3 linked regions of the Xenopus tropicalis genome follow. The protein of the gene in region 1 purifies or fractionates together with the protein of each later gene. This does not show direct contact. Links are inferred from orthologs where the notes say so. Each region holds a gene or a part of one and is shown in the gene's direction. Other genes may lie near its edges. The genes, in order: pias4, ikbkg and smad4.1.

What was found.
Region 2: the proteins of pias4 (region 1) and ikbkg purify together in Homo sapiens (affinity purification with western blotting; 5 studies listed by BioGRID, with this or other methods). This does not show direct contact. The link is inferred for Xenopus tropicalis from reciprocal best matches to the Homo sapiens genes PIAS4 and IKBKG.
Region 3: the proteins of pias4 (region 1) and smad4.1 purify together in Homo sapiens (affinity purification with western blotting, with the first as the bait; 3 studies listed by BioGRID). This does not show direct contact. The link is inferred for Xenopus tropicalis from reciprocal best matches to the Homo sapiens genes PIAS4 and SMAD4.

What each region holds. Positions count from the first base shown.
Region 1 is NC_030677.2:93,075,201-93,082,234, reverse strand, and holds the start of pias4 (E3 SUMO-protein ligase PIAS4), read left to right. Parts: upstream 1-3,326; 5' UTR 3,327-3,332; coding exon 3,333-3,359; intron 3,360-7,034.
Region 2 is NC_030684.2:25,683,804-25,690,823, forward strand, and holds the start of ikbkg (NF-kappa-B essential modulator), read left to right. Parts: upstream 1-2,336; 5' UTR 2,337-2,535; exon of another isoform or gene 2,536-2,645; intron 2,646-6,861; 5' UTR 6,862-6,893; coding exon 6,894-7,020. Other genes in the region: g6pd (glucose-6-phosphate 1-dehydrogenase), read right to left, coding at 2,133-2,154. UniProt on the Homo sapiens protein: Regulatory subunit of the IKK core complex which phosphorylates inhibitors of NF-kappa-B thus leading to the dissociation of the inhibitor/NF-kappa-B complex and ultimately the degradation of the inhibitor.
Region 3 is NC_030677.2:205,054,790-205,061,921, forward strand, and holds the start of smad4.1 (mothers against decapentaplegic homolog 4), read left to right. Parts: upstream 1-3,223; 5' UTR 3,224-3,386; intron 3,387-7,132. UniProt on the Homo sapiens protein: In muscle physiology, plays a central role in the balance between atrophy and hypertrophy. When recruited by MSTN, promotes atrophy response via phosphorylated SMAD2/4.

The sequences.
Region 1 (7,034 bases):
GTTAAGCTGGCGAGAACCATTGAGTTATATGGAGGCTTAGAAAGTAGAATAGAATAGTCTGTCCTTGACACATTTTCAAGGGGAAGTTAAACTCATTATTGTTTCTATTTCACACTCTTTCAAGGGATAAATGTTATTGTTTTCCAAGAATGAGCGCCAATGCTCCTAAAATGGCCACTAGAGCAATTTCTGTTTGTGAAAAATAAAGAGGATTTATGAAAATAAACAGGCATTTAAATTATTTCGACATTTAATAAATGCAAGAATGATCGTGTTTTTTGATCCTCTGGATCAACTAGAAGTTAGGCAGGTTATATATAGGCATTATGGTTGAACGTGATGGACGTATGTCTTTTTTCAATCCAACTTACTATGTTACTATGTTACTATTCAAAAAAATACCAAGTAGCGTTTATACAAATTTCAAGGCCAGAAAAATTCTAGTTTTAGTAAATCTGCCCCTTAGTGTTTTTATCAGTGGGTAAAAGTTAGAGTTCGCTATCTGATATACACTTCTAAAAACACTATAGGAATGAATAGAAAGTGGGTGAGTTTTTTTGCTTTGAGCTCTTTTGCAAAATCTGCCCCTAAGCATTCCTTTGTGATAGTGATTTCTCGTATTGGTTATTGGCCTGTATATTTCACTGTGGCTTCTCCTTATTCTCAGCCTGACCTTTGCCTGGCTTTTGAATAAAATTTAATCTGGACCACTCTGGCCTCAGGGTAAACCTCACTAAATCCACTCTATTCTTTGTAGACAAACAAAAGAACAACCCAGAACACAACCAACACTCGCTGATAATAACTCCAGAGTTCAAATACATAGGCATTAAGGTATCACTACCTACTTCCACCTACTGGGTAATGAATATCTTACCACTGTTGGGCATGGTGGAAACAAGATTTAAACAATGGGCTGGTCTACCACTCAGTCCACAAGGTCATATTAGTTTAATAAAAATGACAATACTCCCCAAAGTATTGTATATACTTACACATGCTCCTATAAGGGTCCCCAAATCCTTTTTCCAAAAATTTGATAAAATAATGAGCCCCTTTATATAGGGAACGGGGAGAAGGAGACTAAAACTAGACTACCTTAAAAAAGCTGCAGACAGTGAAGGAGCATCTCTACCAGAGACTGAGAACTATACCACCTGGCTACCCAACTAGCACACGCCAAACCCTGGTTCACCCAAAAACCTAATTGCCCATCCTCCAAACTGCTAATGGCCCTGAACAACACACAAAGACCCATCCTACAAGAGATGCTAAAAACCCCAACTGACAAACCACGAAACACAACCCACCCTATAATATCTCTAACCCGCACCTTATGGTCGCGCACTGAAGCAGTATGCACACACCAGGCTAAACACCTAGACACACCCATATGGAACAACCGAGCGCTTAATGAATTTACCCACATAGAGGCAGGGCGGATATGGAACAACAAAGGGGTACAAATACTACAACATTTGGTGCAAAACAACTCCCTTAAACCCTTTGACAGACTCCAAAGGGAATACGAAATGCCCGGTACCCAAAGGTTAACATATAGGCAAGTACAACATGCCTACCAGTCAGCCCCCTTTAAGGTGGGAAAATCACCCTTTTGCAGAATACTTGAGGTACAAACATATAGTACATTAACATTCTGCAAATATGAAAAGGCCAATGCCAGCCTCTTCAGGGCATGGCGAACTGATATCCCCGCACTAACTGATGATGAATGGTTGGACGCCTTGGAGGCACCCAGGTTCATTTCCCCCACTGCTAACCACAAAATGATTCAGAAGCTTATCCTTCACAGGGCATACTTTACCCCACTAAGGCTGCATAGGATGAACCCCCAAATATCCCCTAACTGTACTAGATGCGGCCTAGCCCCAAGTACCTTTATATACATGCTGTGGGAATGCAATAAGCTGCAATTATACTATAGAAAGTTATTTGCCACAATAGCAGAAACAACAAACATGCAACTCCAGCCTTCCCCGGAACTAGCTATATTAGGAGCATGCGATGATTCCCTGGGTAACAAATGCCAGCTAACGGTTATACGACAAGGCCTCTTCCAAGCCCGTAGATGCATAACATACCTGTGGAAAGATGTGAACCCCCCCAACCCACCAAACATGGCTAGACCAAATGCAGAAATATATAGACTGTATGCAATACCTATACACAAAAACAGCAGCCCCAGAGAAGTTTGACAAAATATGGGGTTCCTGGCCCCTCCCCTAGATATTAACCTAAGAAAGCCAAAGCCCCATTACTGTATGAGCGACAACTAACACACCCTACCCACCGTACGCCCACGACAAACCTCACACCCCTGGATTTGCCTGCTAGGTTAGGTAACAACTCTTATCACCTACTTTACCATAGGTTACGTTATGTTAACTTCATTTGTTTTAGTATTACTTTTACTTTTATTTCTGGACCTTGTGTAAAAACTGTTTCAACCGGTAAGCCGACATATATATGTACAATGCCGATGCTATGCACTTTGGGAAAACTGTAACAAATACTTCAAAGTTCCTAACTCTGATGTGTAACAAAAGATTTACATGTATTATATGATAAATGGTCAATAAAGGTTATGATGTTAAAAAAAAATGTATTCTGAACCAACTATCCTGGTCCTGCCTCTCACTCCTAGAGCTCCCAAAAAGGAATGTAGGGTTTTTCAGTGTTCTTTTGAGTTCTTCTTCTTACATGACCAATATATTCACTTTAGAGTTCATGGTATTATCAGTTTTTACACTGACAACGAAATATTTTCCTACTGTCAGCCCCACAGTTTCCATACAATGTCCATATTTGTTTACAAATGCGTAACCAAGACCAAACAGTGTATCCATCAGATAAACGTAAATCAATCATACACTATTAGGGACAAAACACAGCAAAGAAATAGAACATGTGCACAAATTTTCCTCTGCTGTTTAAGATCTTTAATACCAAGTCACTATCTATCTACAACTACCACATAATAGTTAACGCCGTTAAGGAAACAAAGCTTTCTTCACTAGTATATGCTAGTATTTTCCAATTGGTCTATTTTACCCACAAAAAAGAATTACAATGTAAGCGGCAACGTTACATTACGTCATACGCACAACCAATTGGTGATAAGGCATTACAAAGGGAAGACTCCTCCCATGCCGGACTGCCGGACTGCCGAACGTATAATCATGGAGAGATATACGCAAGCGCGAAGTGGTAGGAGCCGAGCTTGTAAAGAAGCGATTGGGGATTGGCACATGAGCGCGCGGGATGATCACGTGGGGCGGCGTCGGCCGGCGCGGGGGACGCTGGAAGCCAAGATGGCGGCGGAGCTGGTGGAGGCGAAGGTGAGACGGGAAATGAGGGTTTAAATTAGTGAGATCTTGGCTACTTTGCCTATTCATTGCAAGAATGCCTCCCAAGTGTAATACACTAAATGTCCCTATTTCGTTTTGCTTTGTGTCCTATTAAGGTTTTAGTTACTGTACGTCTATAATGCGCCCACCATTTACGGCATATGGCCCGCAAGCGACTTATTTCTCTGTACTGTTACACAAAATGTTGCCGGTTATTCTTTGTGCTTAATGTCCAAATTTAGTTCTCCGATGCAAATAATTTTCAAACAAATAAGTGCTTAGCCGTAATTTCTAGCCACTGCTGTCTGGGAGATAGTAATATAGCGCTATCCGGCCCCATCGTATTCTTACTCTCTCTTTCTTAGTCTCAGTAGTTTCATAATGATCATCCACAGTTATTCTCCAAACAGTTCTACCTGTCTGTCATTTGGCTGGTTGCTTTTATTTACCTAAAGTAGTATTTTATTTAGAATCCAACGTTAGATGGTTGGAGACATTAGGGGCCCCTCTGCGCATTTAGAAGACCTTGTTTATAAACATCTTTTGTTTTACATGTATGGATATCTTGGTACTTTTAAGTAATGCCTTAGACTTTGCTGGAGTTTTATTGATATTTATTGTGGATATATTAGTGTGCAACTTAAATGTTTAAACTTTCATAAGGGCCATGGCAAATGCTTTATATATAAAATTTCCCATTGACACTAATAAGGTGCTCCCCTGAATACTTTCAGGTGGAGATATTCCTTTTTTTGATATAATCGAATACAATTGTTGCTTATTATTCTGAGAAAGAGTAGTTGTATTGGATACAAGTTTTAAGCCTTTAAGGGATATTGTCGCCCGGATCATTTTAGCAATAATTTATTTATTTTTGTACATTGGAGGTCTCATTATTTTTTGAATTGTCCAACAGAGCTTTACTTTATTAGCTAATGTTCTATTATTAAGTTTATCTGTTGAATTATTTGCTATAATCTTTGCTATATGTATGCATTCCATACTCTTATGTCACATGTGGTGCTTGCTCTGGTGACAAAATGCCCATACTTCCTATCAGACAAGGGAAGGTTCACAGGTGGTTTTAGGCATTTCCACCACCCAGAGGATCTGCATTATTGATCCGGCAATGTCTTTTGGTGCATTGACATTTGTATCAAGAATCTTTGCCACAATGCAAGGCTGGCTTTTTGTGTTTGCCAGAATGGAAATAGAAAGTCACATGAGTACCACAAACTAATTTTCTCCATGCAAGCATTAAATAACTTTAAAAGTTCATATTTTTCAAACTACTCTTTATGCAATATTTAAATTGTTATGCAAAAGAAAACACGTATTCTTTTTCTATCCATTTTTAAAGAACTGTAAAATTATGAAAGATGAATGCATATTGATACACATTTCTCCTCTTGTCTAACATTTTTCAGTTGGCAGAGAAATGGCTGATAGCCACTCCCACCTCCTCCTGTTCACTTGAATGGGCAACATCTCACAGTGCCTGAAGGATACCGAGCCTCTCAGGCATGGTTGGGAGTTAGCATTTTGTGATGAAACGACCTACCTTAATCCTACAGTTCAGGTGCCTTGGAGGCTGACAAATTTATTTTTTAGTGGGTCACGAGCAGGTGATGGGCTCAAATCCCTAAGGTCAGGTGCGAGTCCACTCGCACCTTACTTATAGCAGTAAACTGATGCACCAGCTTTATTACTTAGTAACATAGTAGATGACATTATAAAAAGACACCCTTCCATCAATTTCAATCTTTTTGCCAGAGGATGGTGAAAAAAAAACTGTAGCCTCTCCAAGGAAAAATCTTTCCTGATTTTCCTACTAAGAAGTAATTCAGTAAATTTTGATTTCCTTATGTTCTAAAGATATCCAACCCTTTCTTAAAACTTATGCTTCTGCCAATACGGAAGACTCAGGGGAGTCCTCACTGTGTAAAAAACATTTAGCATACTAAAATGGAACTTTCTTCTAATCTGAATGAATGCCCTCACATTAGCTGGAAGGACCTACTGGTTAATAAAGCATCAGTTTATTGCATGGCCTCTTTGAATATTTATACAAAGTACCATGTCCAACTATAAATGCCTCTTCTCCAGCTAAAACATATCGGAGACCACCCATACCCTTTATCAGCATAGTTACTCCTCTGTGGACTTTTTGCATTAATATCTATTTTAAGGATTGTAAACCACAACTTCCCTTTCCACTTAATCTGAGGAATTGTGTGAGATATATATTTTTGTAAATTTTAAGATATTGTGCAAGATATATATTTTTACAGTTCAAGTACAGCTATGGGATCCTTTATCCGGAAACCCCTTATCCGGAAAGTTCTGAATTACGGAAAGGCCATCTCCCATAGACTCCATTATAAGCAAATAATTAAAATTTTTAAAAATTATTTCCTTTTTCTTTGTAATTATAAAACAGAACCTTGTACTTGATCCCAACTAAGATGTAATTAATGCTTATTGGAGGAAACACAAGCCTATTCGGTTTATTCAATATTTAAATGATTTTTAGCAGAACCAAATTACGGGAAGATCCCTTATCTGTAATACCCCGGGTCCCGAGCATTCTGGATAACAGGTCCCATACCTGTAGTGTTTTTTTTTTTTTTTTTTTTTTTTTTTTTTTTTTTTTTAAACCAATTGAATTGAGCTTGTGCCATAAAGGATAGTATCAGTTATTCTCCCTTTTGTTTTCAAGAAAGCTCCTGTTAATCTAAATGTCCTGTCCACCTTCCTGCTTAGACAGAAAAGTAATGTAATAGCTTAGGTTGACACACGACCATCAAGTTCAGCTTTTTATGTCCATGAATCCAGCCTGGAGAAAGGCAAAAACAAAAAAACATTTCTTAGCCTGTCCACAGCCTCGGAGGTTAAAAAGATATTCCTTCCTGGCTCTAAGATGGCAGTTTGACCGGACCCTGAATCAACTTGTACTAAAAGCTTTAAGAAAGCAAGACTAACAGTTCACAGTCAGGAATGAAGAAGATTGACATAGCATTTTACCAAATGAGCAGCAGCTCATTGAGGCGTGCCTAACATTTGGCACCCTCCATTGATTTAAATTTTTCTTGTCCTTTACAAGTATTTATAGATGATTGAAACTAAGATAAAACATATGCTCATAAGTATTTCAAAAAAATCTCACCCGTAGTATAGATGGGCCCATGCCCCAGACCTTCAGCTAGAGGGAGCCATCATGGATAAGTCGCAAACATAGAAAGAAGGCAGGCACTCCGGTATTATTAAGTGAAGGAAAGCGATTGTTCACGAGAGGATTGAAGTAAAATCACAATACTTTTATTAAGCTAACACATGATACAGAGAGCCTAACGCGTTTCGTACCCTACGGTACTTAATCATAGGCTGAATGAAAATAAGTAAATTAAGTACCGTAGGGTACGAAACGCGTTAGGCTCTCTGTATCATGTGTTAGCTTAATAAAAGTATTGTGATCTGAGGTAATGTGTCTTATACCACTCTATGGGCAAGCCGCCCGGGCCTGGCGCCTTGCCCGAGGGGAAGGATTTTATGGCCTCTGGGACCTCATCTGAGGTAATGTTTTTATTTAGAAACTCTGTTCTTTCTCTGGAAAGTTTGTGGATTGAGATGCTATCTAAGTATTTGGCCAGGGTTTCCTGGGGGTGG
Region 2 (7,020 bases), on another chromosome or scaffold:
ACTGAGCATTCCACTGCTCTACTCCATGCACCTTTCTCCCCACATCACTCTTGTACATCCCAGAGTACTCTCTGGCACTGGATTTTAAAGCAGTAATTACACATCAATCCCTTCCCCAGTAGAGCTTACAATCTTACAATATTTATATCTCCTACTTTAGGTTCATATCCATAAAGCAAACTTAGATCACTAAATTAATTGCATTGTTGTGCGGCGAAACACAAATATTCAACAAGGGACAAGGGTAAAAATGGAAAGGATTATTTATATTGGGACAAAATAGTATTATAGGAGAAATAAACCACTTCATACCTCTTTGGTTCCCTGCAGAATCCTTACACCTCTATCCCAAACCAAGCACCCAAATACAGTATGTTTCCCTAGAGCCAGGCCAAGTATAATTGGCACTGAAGGGCCCATGACTCCTTGGGGCTGATTTACTAATCCACGAATCCGAATCCCGAATCGGAAAAAATTGGATTGGAAACGAACATTTTGCGACTTTTTCGTATTTTTTGCGATTTGTTCGTCACCGTAGCGACTTTTTCGTAGCCGTTACGACTTGCGCGAATTGTCGCAACTTTTTCATAGCCATTATGACTTTCGTGAATTGTCGCGACTTTTGCATAGCCATTATGACTTTCGTGAATTGTCGCGACTTTTGCATAGCCAATATAACTTTCGTGAATTGTTGCGACTTTTTCATAGCCATTATGACTTTCTTGAATTGTCGCGACTTTTGCATAGCCATTACGACTTTCGCAAATTTTCGCGACTTTTTCGTATTGAGCGCTCTAAAAATTCGCGAAAAAAGTCGCAAAATACCGATCATTACGAAAAAACCGCATTCGGACGCTTTCCGGACGTTCGTGGATTAGTAAATGTGCCCCCTTGTCTAACTGGACCAATCCCCCACTTCAGTTCAATTTACAGGTCAGCCACCCACTGCTTGCTCCCGCTCTTCCAGTCACTATTTATTGGGCTGGTGGGGGCTGTTTGGGCCTCTGTGTACTTGGAATGCCAGCAGGGGTGGACTGAGCCAACCGGCCACCCAAGGCAACCCGGGTGGCCACCTAGTCCCTGCACTATTGCATTGCACCCCCCGTGTGTTTTGGCGGGGGGGTGCGATGTGAAAGTTCATTGCCCCCACCGCGGCAGGGGTAATGAAAATGGAGCACTAACTAGGGGTAGGCAAGAGAGGCTCCTGCCTGGCGCCCTTCAATCGTTGCCCCCTAGGCAGCTGCCTCTTCTGCCTACCCCTAGTTCTGGCCCTGAATGCCAGTCCAGCCTGTGCCCCCCAACTGTGATTGAGTCACATGCCCCTGCTGCCTAGCCCTAGTTCCAGCCTTATGCTTCCTCGTACATCAGGATTTAAGGCAGAGTAGAGCAGCAGGGTTGGCAGCTGCCATATATATGACTTCCTCTGCCTATTGGGGTACATAGGTGTTTTTGGGTCAGGAGGGAGGACTCTGCAGGGAAATGAAAGAGAAAACCATAAAAATTGCTTTATTATCACTGGAATAACAAAATGCTGCAATTGGTCAGCAACTGGCACAGTGCCTGGTCATTAGGAACAGTTCCCAACTATGGATCACTTATACATACATATAATATACATAGATCCAATATGAATTTCAGAGTTACGTGCGCACACATTAAACACATACAAGAGCAATGATTAACCTGTAAAAATATTCATATACAGATATGGCACCTAGTGATGTCATTGTTTATAATCAGCACTTAGTGATGTCATTCACAGCACCACCCACTGATACTTATATAGAATAATGTGGCCCCTGGTAAAATCCCATTATAGTAGAATATAGCTCAGGGTTCCTGACATGCATATATACAGGTGTATATGAAACCTAATGCTTTAGCAGCTGGATTCATCGCTCTAGAACACTAACAGATTTGGTTTTCTAATTGAGACGCGTGTGGCAGTTCTATGGCAGTAATTTCTCCATTGAAAGAAGCATGCTGCGGAGCGTGTAAGCAGGCTGTGTGCTACTCGTGTAGCCGCTACCCCCCACACGCTATAACTAACACACACACAGAGAACAGGTTTCCACACATTTTTCTAGTGCTGGAACACTGACACCAGGTGAGAGATCCACCCCCTCACTCACCCACACTGGGACTGCTCCCCATCTCTGCCTACTTCTGTAGCGTTACACCCAGCCCCGGCGCCGCTCCACCAATCAGAGAATGGTTTAGCCACCACATGGGCGTGGCTTGCGTCATTCACCGCCATGAGGTGCGCCGCATGAGCACGGTTCCCCAATGAAAACAGAGAAAAGCGGCAAACAGCCAATCAAAGGAGGGGATGTTGCCGAAGGTCGCCATCAGGAGAGTATTGGCACATTTTACCGCTTACATTTTTTTCTAATCCAATGCAGTCATGCCATGCTTCATTTCCGGTTTAGGACTCCTGCCCCACTTCCGACAATACTGTCAAACAGCGTGAGCCTCATTTCCTGGGGTTGGACCATCTACGGAAAGCGAACCCGGAAGCGATACAAAAACACTTTGGTAAGTGTCTTGACAGAACCTGGACTTCAGTTTCATTTTGTTCAAGGAATGGGTGGAGGAAGCCGACCCTGAGACAGTGAGTGGAGACTCTAAGCGTTACTGCACAGTAGGTAATTAAAAGTGGTTTTATACTAATAGAATGGGTGTCGGATCCAGCACCCATAGCAGAACATCACAAGCAGCTAACCCATACATGCATTCAACGTTTTCACTGATTTTACAGCTATTTGTAAATGCACTCGGTAGCTGTATGTATCCCTTCCTGTGTATAGTCATTGCTCATGCAGGTTTCAGTTGTCAGAACCAGCAGTGTAGAGAATAGCAATAGGGTATGTCGGACAGTCAGCTGATTGTGCTCTATTTTAATGAAAAGACCTCTAAAAAACCAATTGTACCTGATGATGTGAAGTGTAGGGGGAATCAGGGAGATTTGGAATGGAGGAGAGCTTAGACAGCAAGCTGTCAGTAGCAGCATTTGTATACACCATAGGTCACATTCACTTACCTAAACGCAGGGCATAAAGTGGAATTTACCCACAGTGCACTGTTTTTTTCCAGAATTACGGGGTCATTGCAATCACAAATTGATGATTCTCTTGACACAATTGCAACTCATCTACTACAGTTGCGTTAGGTTTGCCAAAAATAGACCCAACTGCGTGTGTGTGGCGCAGATGCAGTGCATATTTTCTAAAAGTGCCTGGCGAGATCGCCAAGTGAGCGGATCTTCTCCCGATATCCCCCACCTACGGGTGGGCAATATCGGGTGAATTCAGGCTAATTCAGTCGGGGACCGCATCAACAAGCCGATGCGGTCCCCGATCTGACTAAAATTTTTAACCTGCCTGATTGATATCTACCGATTTCAGGCCAGATGTCGGTCGGGCAGGCCTGTCGTTTGTGCCCCTACTTGGGCCGATAAGCTGCCGAATCAGTCTAAGGGACCGATATCGGCAGCTACAATCGGCCACCTTAAGCCTGCCTGTCATGTGGACACTGGTGGTCAGGTTATGTTAGTCGGCTTGCATAGGCAGTGTTGTGAATGGCTGGATTTACAGGGGTGCAACATCTGCCCCTTTTGCCCACTTGCACATTGGCAATGGAGATACCAGCTGCATTATATTGGGGTCAGAGGATAGTCTGGCAGACTGCAATTGCAATACAAAGCAGTCCAAATAATTTTATGGTAAACTATATAAAGGGGCATATATACATGCACACAGCAACAAGGGAATTATGGGCAGTGCTGTGCCCTAGGGTGCAGGTGGCACTGTCGGCAAGGAGTTTCTCTGTTTTCTGCACTGCTTTCCTCCCTCATTCAAAAACATACAGGCAGGTTTATTGGCTTCTGATAGAATTGACTCTAATGTGTGTGAATAAGATAGGGACCTTAGATTGTAAGCTCACTGGGGCAGGGACTGATGGGAATGTGATAGGGACCTTAGATTGCAAGCTCACTGGGCAATGACTGATGGGAACTTGAGATTGTAAGCTCACTGGGCAATGACTGATGGGAACTTGAGATTGTAAGCTTATTGGGGCAGGGACTGATGGGAATATGATAGGGACATTAGATTGTAAACTCACTGTGCAGGGACTGATGAGAATGTGATAGGGACCTTAGATTGCAAGCTCACTGGGCAGGGGCTGATTGGAATATGAAATGGACCTTAGATTGTAAACTCCACTGGGGCAGGAACTAATGGAAATGATGTATAATCTCTTTAAGTGCTCCAGAATATGCAGACACTATAAAAAGTAAGAAAGGTAATAATTAAATGTTGGTGTTAATTGTCCTTTAATCCCATATTGTAATTATGTAATTTTGCTCTGATCCCAAACAGCAGACACTGATCACCTGGGCTGCATTCCTCTTTGCTTCCTTCTTATCGCTGTCTCTCCAATAACATTCACAACTACTTCCTTATTCCTTCTGATAACATGGGAGAGATATAATTGGCCAATATACTATGTGATGTCATCAGGACTTTCCCTTTTTCTCTGGTATTCAGAACTGGTCATTGGTTTCTATTAAACCGTTTCCTATTTACTTTTGCTTTATGGTTGGATGTCTATATCTGTTTATAATGTTTTATGTTTTTATGTTCTTTTTTTCTATTAGTAGAGGTAACTATGGTTTACAGTCTGGTTTTACCAAATAACTAGCCTTTGGGGTGGGGTAAACATTTTTACTGGCCCTATGGATTTTCCCATGTGTCATGGGGAATTTCCACCCCTGTATATTCAGTGTAGTCTCTGAAACTCAGGTTCCCTAAATGCCTTTGTAGGCTATAAATGAAAAGCTACTTTTAAAGAGGTTGTTCACCTTTATGTGGATTTTTAGTATGTTATAGAATGTCCCATTCCTAGCAACTTTGCAGTTGGTCTCCATTATTTATTTCTCTTAATGTTTGAATTATTTGCCCTCCTTCTGCCTCTTTACAGCTTTTAAATGGGGGTCACTGACTGTGGCAGCCAAAAACAATTGCTCTGTGAGGCTACAATTTTATTGTTATTTTTTTACTTTTTATTCCTTATCTTTCTACTCAGACTCCTCTTATTCCAGTCTTTTATTCAAACCACTGCCAGGTTTCTAGGGTAAATAGACCATAGCAACTTGATGCTGCATGGCATGGGGGTCAGGAATTTAACCCCTGTAATGAGTACATTTGTTCCTCTGGAGATAAAAAAAGAGAAGGAAAGCTACAATTACTGGGGGGTGCATATATAGACCCATGCCCGCCCTGCCCCACCATCACAAAAGGGGCGGGTGTGGCAGGCATGCACCTATAAATTCGTAAGACGCAGGATTCCAGTGTTGCGGTCCTGGACAGGTAAAGCAGGTGGAAGAGCTTAACCCGCCCATTAAGCACAAGTGATGTGCCGAGGTCTGCCTGAACCCACCTGACCCACGGGTATTGTCACCCATCAGTGATTGTAAATTTCCTTCATTAATAATCTAATTCAAATTAGAAATAATTCACACTGTGCCTGTGTTTCCGATAATTCTGCATCATTTCTGGAATGCATGATACTGTAGCTTTATGCAGAAATACTTTTGCTTTCAATTTGTGAGTTCTTGGGTCCAGTCCATCAGTATGTAATATTAAAAGCTCAGATGAAATCAGTGCTGGCAGCACTGAAGTGCAATGGTTCAATTCCAGCCAGGATACAATGTGCAGGGAGTTTGTATGTTCTTTCTGTGTCTGTGTGGCTTTCCTTTGGGTACTCCACTCAGTTCAGCAGTAGGCACCCATCAGAGATATAAATAATGAGATGCACTTCTATGACCACCATTTCCAGTGTCAAAAGAGCAGATATAGGGCACCACACACTGACGTTATATCTTAAAATGCCTTTGTTGGACCTGTTATGCCTGGGTCTAAATTTTTTTCCGAGTTGGGTCCACCCTAACCCATCCCTTCTGGACCCAATCCAGCCCAAGATTGAGAAGGGAAATAAAAAAACCTGAACCATTCTGCCAATGTCAGTGATTTGATGCTGAGCACATATGAAGCATTCTGTGCCCTGCCCTTGGAAATACCAACCTGCTCTAGAAGTGGTTGCCCTTTTAGCCTGGATCCACCGAACCCGCCAGACCATGCATCACTAATATAAACTTTGTCTATAGCAGGCCACTATAGATACTTGAGAGAAGATTTTTTATTATTCCGACAGGTATGAGAAAGGCCAGTGGTTGTGAAAAAGTAGGTCATGGTCTACCAGCGCTGGTGACTCAGCATTAGAACATTGCCCACTTGAGATGTCTGTTGGACCCCCTCCCCATGATGTAGAATTGTAATGGGTGCTGTTGGTTCATATATATGAAAGGGTATTTCCTCCCTACGAGTAAGAGTAATTAGGTTACGTTACAGGGGTTGTGGTAGACCCCAAACAGAATGGAACAATAGAAAGGTAACCATACTGTGTATGCCATACCTGTTTGACCAGCAGGCAGCTCTTGTTCTTGGTTCTTATCAGGTATACCAAAGATACAAAGAACAGAACATATGCTCAAAGTGTTTCAGAAAATTCTCACCCATAGTATAGATGAGCCCAGGTGCTCATGCCCCAGACCTTCAGCTAGGGAAAGCCATTATGGATAAAGCACAAACGTTGAGAGAAGGCAGGCACTCTGGTATTGCAGTGAAGAAAAGCAGTTGTTCAAAGTTATATATATATTTTCTTTTGGCTGTCCTTAAATATTAAAAAGACTTTATACTGAGAAATTAGGGACCAGAGCATGTTCCCCAGTTTGCAGAACCTGCCCATTGTCCTGTGACGTCCATTTGGCTAATCAAAGTTTGATGTACCTCTCTCCCTCAGGTAAATAGACTGACAAGCCCGGGCCGCAGTGAATGAACGTGCGAACGCAGACAGCGGAAATGGTGCAGCCCAAAGAGAGCTCTGCCGCTGAATACAACCCATGTGAGGGGGGCCCAGGGGACACATCCCTGGGGAAGCCTGAAGTTCTTCCTCCTGAAC
Region 3 (7,132 bases), about 110 Mb from region 1:
TACAGGGGCTATATTCTCTGCAGTCAGGGGCCCCATATAGGTGCCATGTACAGGGGCTATATTCTCTGCAGCCAGGGGGCCCCATATAGGTGCCATGTACAGGGGCTATATTCTCTGCAGTCAGGGGGCCCCATATAGGTGCCATGTACAGGGGCTATATTCTCTGCAGTCAGGGGCCCCATATAGGTGCCATGTACAGGGGCTATATTCTCTGCAGTCAGGGGGCCCCATATAGGTGCCATGTACAGGGGCTATATTCTCTGCAGTCAGGGGGCCCCATATAGGTGCCATGTACAGGGGCTATATTCTCTGCAGTCAGGGGCCCATATAGGTGCCATGTACAGGGGCTATATTCTCTGCAGTCAGGGGCCCATATAGGTGCCATGTACAGGGGCTATATTCTCTGCAGTCAGGGGCCCCATATAGGTGCCATGTACAGGGGCTATATTCTCTGCAGCCAGGGGCCCCATATAGGTGCCATGTACAGGGGCTATATTCTCTGCAGCCAGGGGCCCCATATAGGTGCCATGTACAGGGGCTATATTCTCTGCAGCCAGGGGCCCATATAGGTGCCATGTACAGGGGCTATATTCTCTGCAGTCAGGGGCCCATATAGGTGCCATGTACAGGGGCTATATTCTCTGCAGTCAGGGGGCCCATATAGGTGCCATGTACAGGGGCTATATTCTCTGCAGTCAGGGGCCCATATAGGTGCCATGTACAGGGGCTATATTCTCTGCAGCCAAGGGCCCATATAGGTGCCATGTACAGGGGCTATATTCTCTGCAGCCAGGGGGCCATATAGGTGCCATGTACAGGGGCTATATTCTCTGCAGTCAGGGGGCCATATAGGTGCCATGTACAGGGGCTATATTCTCTGCAGTCAGGGGCCCATATAGGTGCCATGTACAGGGGCTATATTCTCTGCAGTCAGGGGCCATATAGGTGCCATGTACAGGGGCTATATTCTCTGCAGTCAGGGGGCCATATAGGTGCCATGTACAGGGGCTATATTCTCTGCAGTCAGGGGCCCCATATAGGTGCCATGTACAGGGGCTATATTCTCTGCAGTCAGGGGCCCATATAGGTGCCATGTACAGGGGCTATATTCTCTGCAGTCAGGGGGCCATATAGGTGCCATGTACAGGGGCTATATTCTCTGCAGTCAGGGGGCCATATAGGTGCCATGTACAGGGGCTATATTCTCTGCAGTCAGGGGCCCATATAGGTGCCATGTACAGGGGCTATATTCTCTGCAGTCAGGGGCCATATAGGTGCCATGTACAGGGGCTATATTCTCTGCAGTCAGGGGCCCATATAGATGCCATGTACAGGGGCTATATTCTCTGCAGTCAGGGGCCCATATAGGTGCCATGTACAGGGGCTATATTCTCTGCAGTCAGGGGCCCATATAGGTGCCATGTACAGGGGCTATATTCTCTGCAGTCAGGGGGCCCATATAGGTGCCATGTACAGGGGCTATATTCTCTGCAGTCAGGGGCCCATATAGGTGCCATGTACAGGGGCTATATTCTCTGCAGTCAGGGGCCCATATAGGTGCCATGTACAGGGGCTATATTCTCTGCAGTCAGGGGGCCCATATAGGTGCCATGTACAGGGGCTATATTCTCTGCAGTCAGGGGCCCATATAGGTGCCATGTACAGGGGCTATATTCTCTGCAGTCAGGGGGCCATATAGGTGCCATGTACAGGGGCTATATTCTCTGCAGTCAGGGGGCCCATATAGGTGCCATGTACAGGGGCTATATTCTCTGCAGTCAGGGGCCCATATAGGTGCCATGTACAGGGGCTATATTCTCTGCAATCAGGGGGCCATATAGGTGCCATGTACAGGGGCTTTATTCTCTGCAGTCAGGGGCCCATATAGGTGCCATGTACAGGGGCTATATTCTCTGCAGTCAGGGGCCCATATAGGTGCCATGTACAGGGGCTATATTCTCTGCAGTCAGGGGCCCATATAGGTGCCATGTACAGGGGCTATATTCTCTGCAGTCAGGGGCCCATATAGGTGCCATGTACAGGGGCTATATTCTCTGCAGTCAGGGGGCCATATAGGTGCCATGTACAGGGGCTATATTCTCTGCAGTCAGGGGGCCCATATAGGTGCCATGTACAGGGGCTATATTCTCTGCAGTCAGGGGCCCATATAGGTGCCATGTACAGGGGCTATATTCTCTGCAGTCAGGGGCCCATATAGGTGCCATGTACAGGGGCTATATTCTCTGCAGTCAGGGGGCCATATAGGTGCCATGTACAGGGGCTATATTCTCTGCAGTCAGGGGGCCCATATAGGTGCCATGTACAGGGGCTATATTCTCTGCAGTCAGGGGCCCATATAGGTGCCATGTACAGGGGCTATATTCTCTGCAGTCAGGGGGCCATATAGGTGCCATGTACAGGGGCTATATTCTCTGCAGTCAGGGGGCCCATATAGGTGCCATGTACAGGGGCTATATTCTCTGCAGTCAGGGGCCCATATAGGTGCCATGTACAGGGGCTATATTCTCTGCAATCAGGGGGCCATATAGGTGCCATGTACAGGGGCTTTATTCTCTGCAGTCAGGGGCCCATATAGGTGCCATGTACAGGGGCTATATTCTCTGCAGTCAGGGGCCCATATAGGTGCCATGTACAGGGGCTATATTCTCTGCAGTCAGGGGCCCATATAGGTGCCATGTACAGGGGCTATATTCTCTGCAGTCAGGGGGCCATATAGGTGCCATGTACAGGGGCTATATTCTCTGCAGTCAGGGGCCCCATATAGGTACCATGTACATAGAAGCTTTTTGTTTTTTTAAGGGCCCCATTTTACAGGGTTCATCACCTTTGGGGCCCAGGTGACTGGAGGGTTAATACTTGAAGCCGCATGATTACTTTTGACGGCCCTGGCTGCTGGTTTAGGATTGGCTGCTGCTGTACTGGCACTGTGAGACTAAAGCAAAGGGTTAATAATATAAATAAAAGGCAGAGGCTTTCCCAAAATCAAGCAGCAGGCCTGGGAGCGTAACCAGCCCCGTTAGCAGAAGCAATCCAGTAAGCAGGGCTTCTTCCAGAATGCAGCACTACTGCGCTAGTAAGGCCCCGCCCACAGACTGGCAATTCCGCCCTGTTCTAATACAGCCACGCCTCTTTCCCTAACTAGCCTTTTCCTTTCTCCACGCTTCCCCGCCTCCTCCTTCCCGCTCCATGCCGGCCCCGCCCACCCCCTGCTCAGTGGCCCGGATGTAGGCTGGATCGCTGCTGCTGTTGCTGCTGGTACGCAGGCGCGGCCCGTATCTGGGGGTTCTTGTTGTCCGCGGCCTGGGCCGCTGTGGAGCGGGCGGGGGGTGCCGGAAGAAACGGAGCTTTTCTTCACTTCGAATTCGGTAAGGAAATAGGCGGGAAGGAAGGGGTTGCTCCGGGCCTGGGCTGGGAGTGTAGTTCCCAGGCCGCCCGGGGATTAGCTGCCTTGCCGCTCATGGAGAGGGAGGGGACGGGCTGAGGCTCCGGGGCACAAACACTGGAGGCGGTGAGGCGCTTGCCTATCTTACGGGCGCCTTTAAAGCTCCTCTTTTCCCATAGGGGCCTATGGGAGTTACGGTTTGTCAGCTCTTACACATATCCTGTGCGGCTATTGTTGTTGCAGGGGATGATGGGAGTTGTAGTTCAGTAAAGACAGAGAAGCCCAAACCCTTATAGTGGTTTCCTAATTCACCTCTTAGAGGTTGGGGATTTGATTGATTGTAAGCTCCCTGGCTGAGGCTGATATGTACAGGAGGGTTTATTGACCCCTAATGGTTCCCAATAACCATGGGGTTATTTTATTGCTACTAGGGATGGGCAGTGGCAGGTAGGGATGGTCAAACCGCCTCTCCTAATGCTTTCCAATGGGTAGAACAGGAGACACAGGGAGAATATACAAATATATATATATAATGCCCTGACTGGGATCGAACCTACAACCCCAACACTTACCCCAGTGATTACTGGACAATACTGCTGTAGGACTCGGTAGCTGGGGCACAGAGAGAGGTTATAGGAATATCTGAGCCTAGCTCCCCCCGCCCATAAACCAGGCCACTGTGGGCTGAAAGGGACTGGCAGGTTTAGGTTTACTTCCCCTTTAAAGAGAATAGTAAGCCTCTAGGAAACATTGCTTCCTTTCAACGCTCTTATGGCATAGGGCTGCTGCCTAGCAACTAGTCATATGTTCCAATGTTAGACTGGATTGTAACTAGGAGTAGTTTTATTTGGCGGATGAGGCCTCTTGCAACAATGTAGCAGAAGTTGATTTCCTCCAGATCTATCTGCTGGCTTCTTCTACATTATTGTTATTAAAGATTATCATAAGGGATAATGTACCCCCTACTGTAAATGATAAGGATATTAGCAGTCACTGAGGGGTTATGTGCCCATATAAAGGCACAAGGCTGCAGGCTGAGTTATACAGGGAACTCTGAGTATCACTCATGTATTATAAGGGATAATGTACCCCCTACTGTAAATGATAAGGATATTAGCAGTCACTGAGGGGTTCTGTGCCCATATAAAGGCACAAGGCTGCAGGCTGAGTTATACAGGGAACTCTGAGTATCACTCATGTATTATAAGGGATAATGTACCCCCTACTGTAAATGATAAGGATATTAGCAGTCACTGAGGGGTTCTGTGCCCATATAAAGGCACAAGGCTGCAGGCTGAGTTATACAGGGAACTCTGAGTATCACTCATGTATTATAAGGGATAATGTACCCCCTACTGTAAATGATAAGGATATGAGCAGTCACTGAGGGGCTCTGTGCCCATATAAAGGCACAAGGCTGCAGGCTGAGTTATACAGGGAACTCTGAGTATCACTCATGTATTATAAGGGATAATGTACCCCCTACTGTAAATGATAAGGATATTAGAAGTCACTGAGGGGTTCTGTGCCCATATACATCGAGCCAAATGCAAAAAAAGACATATAGTGTCACTGTGTCGGTGAACACCAAACCATTGTCAGTTGGCAGATCGATGGGGATGTTGGGCTCACAGGTGGTGCGGCTGCATTGTGCAACCATAAAGCAGAGCAGCTGGGGGTTAAGCCGTGCAGGCACCTTAATGTCTCTGCGCATGAAGCGATGTGATTGGTGGTTCTGATTCCGTACACAATGTTCCTTTGCTGAAATTCATGATCCAGTTCCCCCCCCTTCTGTGAAACATTATATCTGATGCACGGATTAAGCGCCGGGGCTCAAGCTGCTTCTTTTAACAGTCGTTGAGGAGACACCATCAAGGCATATTATTAAATACAGCCTCATTCTTAGCATGCCAGCCGGCGGGCCGCTATCCCATCTACCATCATTGGATTATACACAAGCACTATACTGGGCTGGCAGATTGCTCTGAGCCTCCGTGCTGTACTGATATTAGTACCGGTGTATGCAAGATATCTCCGCCTGGTGTCTGCAATTCTTCTCTATTATTCATACTCTATGCCCTAGGGGGGTTACACAGTTCTGTATCCTTCTACCAGAACAGATCTGTGCATTTAAGTGACAAGCACATATCAGTGTAAAGCTGGGAATTAGGGATGCACCGAATCCATTTGGCTGAATAACGAACAGATTGCTAATTAGGTTACGGAAGGGTTACATCTTCATTAGCAAATGCTTATTAGGGTACGGAAGGGTTACATTTTCAACTTCCGTGTTTACGTGACAAAAAGTCACGTGATTTTTTGAATTTGGTTCGTCCAGGAGCATGGATTCGGCCGAAAGCAAATCCCGAACTGAATCCTGGATTCGGTGCAGCCCTACTGGGAATACACGTAGAATCTGTAATGGTCTGAACATTTTGGCTCCCAGTCCAACAACCAAACCATAATAGGGGCCCAACAGGATTCTGTAATGTGGTGGCCAAACTGGATCCAGATATCAGTCAGACAGGCCAGCAGGAGGGCTCCATATATTGGCTAATATGGGGCTGACTTGATCTGGAGGGACTAAAGGTGGCCATACACAGTAAGATCTGCTCACTTGGTGAGGTCGCCAAGCGAGCGGATCTTCTCCCAATATCCCCACCTACGGGTGGGTGATATCGGGCTAATTTGGTCATTTGGCCCTGGGGCCAAACGATCGAATTAGAATGACGGGTATAGGCGCAGTCAGTTCAGGGACCGCATCAACGAGCCGATGCAGTCCCCGGTCCAACTAAATTTTTAAACCTGCCTGATTTTAGGCCAGATATCGGTTGGGCAGGCCAGTCGGTAGTGCCCATACACGGGCCGATAAGCTGTCAAGTCAGTCTAAGGGACTGATATCGGCAGCTAGAATTGGCCCGTGTATGGCCACCTTAAGATCTGCTTTGTTGGTGAGGTCGCCAAACGAGCAGATCTTTTCCCAATTTTCTCCCGATATGCCAACCTAAGGTAGGAGATATTGGGCTAAATTGATCCTTTGGGGGGTATATGGGATGTCGGACCGAGGACTGCATCAATGAGCCCCTATCCGACGGGAAAATCAAGATCTGTTGGGGTAGGCCCGTGGGGGGTGCCCATACTCAGGTAGATAAGCTGCAGTATTTGTCTGAAGGACCCAAATCAGCAGCTGAAATCTGCCCCGTAAGGTAGCTGCTTTTATTGGTTACGTTATGAAAGAACGGAAGGACAAATGCTTCAAAGGAACTTGGGCACATACATTTGGTTGAATTATAGGTAGTAGTTTGTCTTTCATAGGGCTGCTGTCTGAAATAAATTGTACAGCAGCTGTACACCCTAATAGTAATTTAAAAAAAATTAGTTTATTAAGGATTTTAGTTGCCCGTGATAACCATCCGTGCCATGGATTGATGGATCCCTTCCTTTGCCTTTTTTGTGTGTAAAGTAATGGTGTTTTGACAGCACAGGCCTGGGGACGGCTATCGGAAGTGACATGTGGCTGTGATGGTCACATCAGGCTCCCTTAGGGCTCTGCGCTCCAGAATCCATTAAGGTATCAGATTCCGCAAAAGGTTTATATTTCTCTCCTTTACTGACACTGAGTTCTTCATTAGTGACAATGGAGTTTTTATATTGATCCGTATCTGGTGGTGCCAGAAGGGACCCATGGCAGTCTGAGTATATGGCACCCACCCCCTGGCAAAGAGACTC